2 linked regions of the Coturnix japonica genome follow. The protein of the gene in region 2 purifies or fractionates together with the protein of the main gene of each other region. This does not show direct contact. Links are inferred from orthologs where the notes say so. Each region holds a gene or a part of one and is shown on either strand. Other genes may lie near its edges.

Evidence for each region.
Region 1: the proteins of PPP2CA (region 2) and CCT2 purify together in Homo sapiens (affinity purification with mass spectrometry; 4 studies listed by BioGRID and IntAct, with this or other methods). This does not show direct contact. The link is inferred for Coturnix japonica from reciprocal best matches to the Homo sapiens genes PPP2CA and CCT2.

Annotation. Positions count from the first base shown.
Region 1 is NC_029516.1:32,200,879-32,204,851, reverse strand, and holds the start of CCT2 (T-complex protein 1 subunit beta), read right to left. Parts: upstream 2,802-3,973; 5' UTR 2,669-2,801; coding exon 2,666-2,668; intron 2,340-2,665; coding exon 2,265-2,339; intron 1,711-2,264; coding exon 1,645-1,710; intron 778-1,644; coding exon 666-777; intron 214-665; coding exon 137-213; intron 1-136. UniProt on the Homo sapiens protein: Component of the chaperonin-containing T-complex (TRiC), a molecular chaperone complex that assists the folding of actin, tubulin and other proteins upon ATP hydrolysis.
Region 2 is NC_029528.1:2,281,238-2,285,506, reverse strand, and holds the start of PPP2CA (serine/threonine-protein phosphatase 2A catalytic subunit alpha isoform), read left to right. Parts: upstream 1-1,469; 5' UTR 1,470-1,687; coding exon 1,688-1,789; intron 1,790-4,269. UniProt on the Homo sapiens protein: Catalytic subunit of protein phosphatase 2A (PP2A), a serine/threonine phosphatase involved in the regulation of a wide variety of enzymes, signal transduction pathways, and cellular events.

The DNA of each region.
Region 1 (3,973 bases), on a different chromosome or scaffold from region 2:
ACCAGTTTAATGGCAACGGGGCAAAGTATTCCTATCCTTTGGGAGCCCACTTCATAAGCATCAACAACACATCTCCTACTGGCATCCCAGGACTACACAGCCTATATGAAACCGTCTAAAAATGTTAATACATCACCCTCAGCAACTCAGCTGCCAACACTGTGACAGACGTAGTTCCATCACCAACTTCATCATCTTGAACCTTTGACATATCTAAAAGAAAGGCACTGCATTAATGCTTGCATTCAAAACAGACTGAACGCCCCTAGCAGCTATTATCTTCAGCATTTGTACCTCACATGACTTTAAGGAAGAAAAAAGAATTCCACTGCCAAAGAGGCTGTCAAACTGTAACTCAGACTGAAACTGAGATGCAAATCAAACACAACATCATCCTTCAAATTCCCCATCGTCGTTTGCAACACAGACCTGTTTTAGCCTATCAGTATTCAAGAGCCACCCCCCTCTCAACGTGTGCCTAAAGATCATGATCAAAATAAAGTAAGGCCAGACAGATGCTCTCAAGTATAGATAAGCAATATCACAGAATATGTCAATTTTTCACACTGTGTAGAATATTTCTCTATGAAGAAGTTAAAACTACGTAAGAAAGTTACAAGTGAAGAAATTCCATGTATGACAATGACAAACTGTTAGAAACTCACCAACCAAGACCTTGGCAGCTGGGTTGTCAACTCCAATAGCTTTCAGGATGGTTGCACCATCATTGGTCACTGTCACCGTGCTATCCCTCCCAGTACTGAGGAGAATCTTGTCCTACGTGATGCAAGAAATAGAACAGTTTGAAAAAGAACAGTAACTATTAAAACTAAATTATCATACAATGGTGCGAGTTAGAAGGGACCTTAAAAACCATCCAGTTTCAACCTCCTGCTGTGGGCTGGTCGCTGTCCACCAGCTCAGGCTGCCGAGGGCCCCATCCAACCTGGCCTTGAACAGCTCCAGGGATGGGGGTATCCACAGCTTCCCTGGACAGCTGTGCCAGGGCCTCTTTACCCTCAGAGTGAAGTATTTCCCCCTTATAACTAATCTAAACCTGCCCTCTTTCAGAGTAAAAATATTACACCTTGTCCCATCACTACACACTCTTCCCAGCTTTCCTGTAGGCTTCTACACCGGAAGGCTGCACTGAGGTCTCCCTGGAGCCTTTGTTTCTCCAGGTTCAACAAGCCAAGCTCCTTCAGCCTGTCTCTGTAAGAGAGGTGCTCCAGCCCTCTCATCATCCCTGTGTCCTCTACTGGACCCACTCCAATAGCTCCACGCTTTTCTTGTGTCAGGCACCCCAACCCAGAGTATTGCAGGCATGTCCTCTTAAGAGAGAACAGGGGGGACAATGCCCTCCCTCTCTCTGCTGATTACAACTGTTTCAATACAGCCCAGAGCATGGTTGGCTTCCTGGACTACAAGCATGCATTGCTGGCTCATATTCAGCTTTTCATTCAACAATCTATCCAAGTCCTCCTCCACAGGGCTCCAGTCATTGCCCAGCCTGTGTTCATGTCTGCGATTGCCTTGACCCAGGTGCAGAATCTTGCACTTGGCCTCACGAACCTCCATGAGGTTTGCGTGGGCTAAAGCCTGAAATGAACAGGTCTGACCACTGAGGACTTGAAGCTATCTTACCATGCCTTTAGGTCCCAGAGTGCTCTTGACCAGGTCACCAATAGCGATTGCACCAACAAAGGATGACTGTAACAAAAACAAATACACCTTAGAAAATTCTTTATTTCTACTTTAAAACAGTAAGTAAGAGCTAGGCTCTAACTTCCAAGGGGACATCTTAACTAAATTCTTCTACAGGCAAACTCCTTCCAGAAGAATCTGGTTCCAAGTTTCTTAAGTGCTACATTTCAGTAACGTACTTAATTTTTGCAGTAAGCATAAAACCACATAACAGAGCCAAAAGACTTCCAAGGAATAAGAACCTCCTAAGCTGAGATACACAGAATCACAGAATGACCCGGGTTGGAAGGGACCTCAAGGATCATGTAGTTCCAACCCCCCTGCCTGGCAGGGCCACCAAACATACACCTTTACTAGATCAGGTTGCCCAGGGCCCCATCCAGCATGGCCTTGAAAGAAGAACACTGCTGATATGAACAAAACACTTCTACCTTCTGTAACAACAAAAGACAAAACGAGACTACTGAAGCTCTACAGCAGTACACATTGAAAGTAAATTTAAATGTAAAAGAACGACTGTAATTACCCAGAGCATCATTTATCTGAGAGAATAAACTTACCAACCGAGCTGTTTCTGCTTTCTCTTCATCTGCACCTGCCTTGAAAATGTTGACGGGAGCGAGAGAAATGGACGCCTACAGCAGAGAGAGCAGAGAATAGTCCCGGAGCTTTGACAAAACACTGTATTCTAAACACAAATCCCCAGCACTAGCAAGCTAAGATGGCTTTAATACTGAAATCATTCCCGTGTCACGCTTGGTTTTGATAACAAGTACATTAATACTGAATAGACCCGCCCGCGGCCTAACGGGCTCGCCTCGTGCGCGCTCTGGAACCTTCCAGGCCCAACCTCCTCCTCCACACTCCACTCCACTCCCCGCCGCTCCGCGCCTCCTTCGTTCCCTCTCCCCCCCTCGGGTGGAAGCTCCGCGGGCGCGGTGCGGGGCCGTCCGTTGCTCACCATGATGCCGAGGGACACACAGCCGGCTCCGGTACGGGACGAGCTCACACACCGCCACACAGCGCCACAGCACGGCGGAATTGCCGTCACAGGAAGCGGCGGGGATGGAGCCGCGCGGCGCTGTGGGAGATGCAGTCCGCACCGAGGCGGGGGGAGGGAGCGGGATGGGGCAGCCCGCCATTACCTCAATGGGGGCATACAGGAAAGGGACTTGTCACAGAGCACAGAGCATGTACAGCTACTAAGCTGTACACTGAAACAGGGCTCGTTGAGATTAGACATTTATATATGAGGGTGACGGAGCACTGGAACAGGCTGCCCAGGGAGGTGGTGCAGTCTCCTTCTCTGGAGATATTCAAGACCCTCCTGGACACCTACCTGTGCGACGTGGTGTAGGGAGCCTGCTTTGGCAGGGGTGTTGGACTCAATGATCTCTAGAGGTCCCTTCCAACCCCTACAATCCTGTGTGATATTACAGAAGAGCAAAACAGGCTACTAATGCAGTATGCACCCACACTAACAGCAGCACATATTAAAGTAACCCACACGTTATTTTCAATGTAAAATCAATAGTTTATTGCCATGCTACAATTATTATTATTTTTTTTTCCAAATGAAGTTGGCACTGGTAAAGGGGAAAACATCATAATACATAATACAGCTTTAAAGGTGAACATTTGGTAAGCTTTCTCAATTAGGATCGCTTCAAACAAGGGGGGGGGGGGGGGGGNCTGTTTGTTTTTTGTTTGTTGGGGTTTTTTGTGTGTTTTTTTTTTTTTAAGATTAACATGGAATGGCATAAAAATACACTCTTTCTGCATAGTATAATTTTCATCAAAGAAATATGGAATGTCTGTAAAAACAAATTCATCCAACAGGGCAAATGAAGTTTTATAAACAGTTTGGCAATGATACTCTCACTGTTTAGACCTTTTTATATAAAAGAAATAAAAATCTAGAAAGCTACCTTTATACAAAGTTGCTATATTTATGCCTTTAAGTAGGAAAAAAAAAACATTTTATAATGCAAATTAGGACATACAATAATCTTACAATATCATACAATGTAATGACAAGAAAGGAACATACAACGTAAGATTTTGGCCTTTTGTAGAAACACGTATTTCTGCATTTAATAAATGCATTTGTGGCACACTGGTGACTACTGTATTCTTACTCCTACCAGCCAGCACACGTGATAGAACTGTTGTCAGCTGTACTGTAAGGGCAGCTCTGCGGTTTAGATAGAAAACACAGACGATATTTCATGAGACATAAGGTGATGCTGCAGTGGATTGAGATGTAACA
Region 2 (4,269 bases):
AGAGCTATGACTGCCTTTTCAAACAAGGAACCTTTCCATAGCAGAGTAACCCTAACACCAGGCTCCCATTAACCTATGGCAGGTTTGGGAGCCACCACAATTGCTTTAAAGACAGCAGCAATCACTATTGCAATCCGCATGGAGCACTGCCTAGTGCACATTACACGTGTTTTCTCTGCACATATCAGATAATACGTCACAGGACTTTGGTTGCAGTTTCATAAGCAAGTTAAGATTTTCCTGCTACTGAAGCTTTAATTTAAGAAATTTAAAAAAGAAAAAATCAGAAAGAATTCAGAACCTGAGTTTCACCAGGAATTCCTCTATCTCTATGAAAACAAAAGCTAAATACGGTCTTTAACTTGGCTAGTTAAATAAGAGAGGATTATTGCCTTATGTTCTTTCCAGTTGCTTGTTCAGGATTATTTGGGAGGCAATGAAGCAGTGCCACAGAGCAGATTCTTGCCATTTTTCAACAGATAACACCTCTCCTTTTACAGCTTTAAAATACAAAACCAGAGGCATCTGAGGATGCAAAATAGAGCCCCTGAAGAAAGGCATGCCAAAAAAATGCACATCTTATAGAGAGAGCATGACATGGAGGAACCGAGACCGACTGGTTACAGCAAACATTCCTTCCCCTTTGCTCACTATTTTGTTTCTTTGCCTCAATAGCAAGCAAAGAATTTAACCCTTTCCACTCACTGCAAGGCAAACCCGGCTGGAGACAAGTGACTCCTATTAAGCAGGAAGCCTTTGGTAAGTGGCTAATTCCAAAAGGGCACATTGGGCCAAATTCTGACCCACTTTATTGATTTTGTTGTTCTTTTAACTGATATTTCACACGCTTGATAAGTTACTGTAAGGAAATGCCACACCGGCAGCCCCGTCATTTAGGATGAAGACCACTGCAATACACGTTACACACACCGCACAGCGTCACAGTGTCACAGTGCGGTGCGGGTTGGCAGGGACCTTAGAGATCACCGAGTCCAACCCCGGGATTGGAGCCTCTGTGCTGCAGAGCGGCACTGCTACCACTTGCGCCACAGGGGGATTCGAACCCAAGGCCTCCAGCGTTGCAAAGTAGCGTCCTTCAGCACTGCGCCCTCAGTGTCACACCCCGCTCCCCCACACACCCATGAAGCCGTACCCCACACACTGTACAGCGCTACCCCCTATTTCCCCACCGCTCTCCCTCAGACCCGCCCACAGCCGCGCCCTGCACGGGCGGGAAAAGCTCATGACCCGCAGCTCCTCCCGCGCATGCGCACGAAGCCCCTCACAGCGCGCAAGCCCCGCTCCCCCCAGCCAGCATGCGCCGCGCATGCGCAGCATAGAGCTCCGTCTCTCCGGTCGGGCAGGTCCCGCCCATGTCGCGCATGCGCGGTCCGTCCAGCCTACTGCGCACGCGCCGTCCCCTCCCATGGCGGCGCCGTCCCCTCCCCGCAGTGTAGTGGGGCCGTGACGTCAGCAGCGGCGGCCATTACACGGGCAGAGCGAGGGTCGGAGCGCTCTGTTCGCTGCCGTGCGTTGGGCGCCGCTCCGCCCGCAGCTCCACGACCCGCTGCTGAGCCGCGACCACCGGGATCGCGTCGTTGGGGCCTTTGGGGGGAGCGGCGGCAGCTGGTGGTGAGGGGGAGGAGGAGGCGGAGGAGGAGGGGGCGAGCGAGCGGCTGCGTGCGGGATGGAGGAGAAGGTGTTCACCAAGGAGCTGGACCAGTGGGTGGAGCAGCTCAACGAGTGCAAGCAGCTGTCCGAGGGGCAGGTGAAGAGCCTGTGCGAGAAGGTGAGGCGCGGCGTGGGGAGCGGAGCGGCGGCACGGGGCGGGGCGGCACCTCCGGGGTTGGGCACACGGGGCTGTGAGCAGGACGGATCGGAGCGGTGCCGGGCAGTGGGTCGGCTCCACACATCGGCTCGGTGGGTCGCTCTGTTGGGCTCCGCTGGGCGCTGCTCGCTCTGCCCGGCGCTGGATGAGCCGCGGCCCCTCGGCGGGCATTGCCGCGGCCTGGCCCCGCCTCCCGCCTTTTCATCGCCTCCTAAAATGGCGCCGCTGCCGGGAGCCGCCGCCACAGAGCACGAGAGCCGCCGCCGGGCCCGGCCCTGCCGCTCCGCCATCCGTGCGGTGCTGTGCGGTGACACGGGGAGGCCGTGTAGGGCAGGGAGCGTAGGGCGCGGTGCGGGGCTCCGAGCTGCTGTGAGCACGGCGGATTATTCAGTTATTCATTTACCATACAAATATAGGATCGCGGTTATTTCTAATTGAAGCGGAATTTTAGATCGACCTGGGGAGTCGGGTTTGTTTTTTGTTTTTTTTTTTTCCAGAATAAAATGGCGCTTAGTGACATAAAGCTCGTGTCGCTGTTTATTGCTACGGTGACTGATGGGGATCCGCGCAGCACAATGATGTGCTGTGTGTGTAGTGTAGGAGCGGCTTCACATCGGCAACTGTGCTCTAGGAATTAAAGGAATAATAGCTGCAGTGGTACCCGGTTGTATTGTCCGGTTACAGTCTGTTTCTGAGCGGAATTAAATCCTCAGCCATCATGAGCCATTATTTTCCCTTCAATTACTGGAGGTTTTATTTGTGTGCACCTTTAGATTGAAGGAATTGCCTTTTTTGGGGGAGGGATCTAGAAATCAATGCGTATGGAGGTTATTGATGCCCTCGGTCCTAAAGAAGGCTGCGTGCCTATCACAGGAGGAAACAGGGGTATTTTAAGGTTGGCACCATGCCTTCAAATAGTACAGCGTGTTGGTTTAGAAGCAGATTGTTTCCAGAGGGTTGTATGTGGACTTAGAATTAACTTGCAGTGCTTTTGGCCATACAGGTTCTTGTTGTGTCCCACATTTCAGTCGCCTCATATTCCAGCAACTCAAAATCAAAGCCGTTAGATATAGTTTGTGTGTTTAACGTGGTGTTCCAAGCAAGTAGCAGGTTAGGGATTGTTTCCCTTGTGTGTCTTTAGTGCCAGCACTCTGACTTTTTCCTCGTGTCCCATTTGCCATCACTGATGTGCTGATGGAAGGGCTGAATCCTGGCTGGGTATTTCTAATGTGGTTGTATGGCAATCTGTAAAAACCCGAGGAATAAATGAAATTCTTTGCATTTAGTGGATGCTGTGGATAGGTGAGCAGTAGACATGCCAATAGAAACCGCACAAAAGGCACCATAGTCCTGTTCATAATCTGTGCGAGGATGGAGGTGTCTTCATTTTTTCCTAATGAAGAATTGAATTAGTCTATTTCTGGCTGAGCGTGTAATGTTCATCACCAGAATAGATTCATGACACTAGGAAAGAAAAAGCTGTTCTAACCTGAAACGATTCTGATAGGTTCAAGGCAAGGAATCACGAGGCAGGTGGGCTCTGTAGGAGCAGCAGACTCTGTTGGAGAGGCTGGAGGAATGATAGGTGATGAGCTGCAGGAATTGTTTGGATGAAGGAGTTGAATTAGGTTACAGAAAGCTGCCTGTTCGACTGCTGCATTGAGATGAAAGGCTGCAAGGACAGGAGAGAGGCTGATGTGAGAATACCACTGAGCAGCAGGGATGGTTTGCCACAAGTTGGAGCCAGCTCCAGACCAAAGGTGGAATGTCTTTGGGCAGCATGACACTGTGCTTGAGATAAAGCTCCCTCTCTATTACTCGGTTGAGGTCAACACTTTGTGAGGTACATCCAGGCTGTTTGTATTAAGGGTGATAACTACTGGTGGATTTACCAGCCCCTGTTAGTGGTAGGTGAGATGCTGTGTCAAGCTTTCCATTGTCCTGTCCCCCCCATGGGTTGCTGTGTTCCCAAAGCAGGGCATTAGTTGAATTCTGTGCCTGTCTGCAGAGGTTCCTCATTTATCCTGTTCCCAGGCTTCCAGCACCAGCTCTCTGCAGTACTGAATTATGATTCGTGTTTTGATTATTGTCTGCAATCACACCCAAAGGTTATGATTTTCCATAGAGAGCTTAGATGTTAAGGGTGGTGTCAAACATAGTCACTGTTTCAAATGATGGGTGCAGACCCTATCTGACAGAAGCTGTCATTCCTCACTGCTCTGAGCTGTAGCTACGATAGAAAAAAGTAATCCCTCTTGTGAAGGCTTTTCCCCATAACATGCTGTTTATTAGGTGATCTTCTGACTGGTATTTCTGGATCTTCTGAGGCTTCGTGTGTGTCTAGTAAGACGAAGCCTGAGGGCTCTGTTGTGTTTCAGTATTGATAGCAGAAGAACACAACAGCTATTTGCAGACACAGTGCAGTGCAGCACAGTAACTCA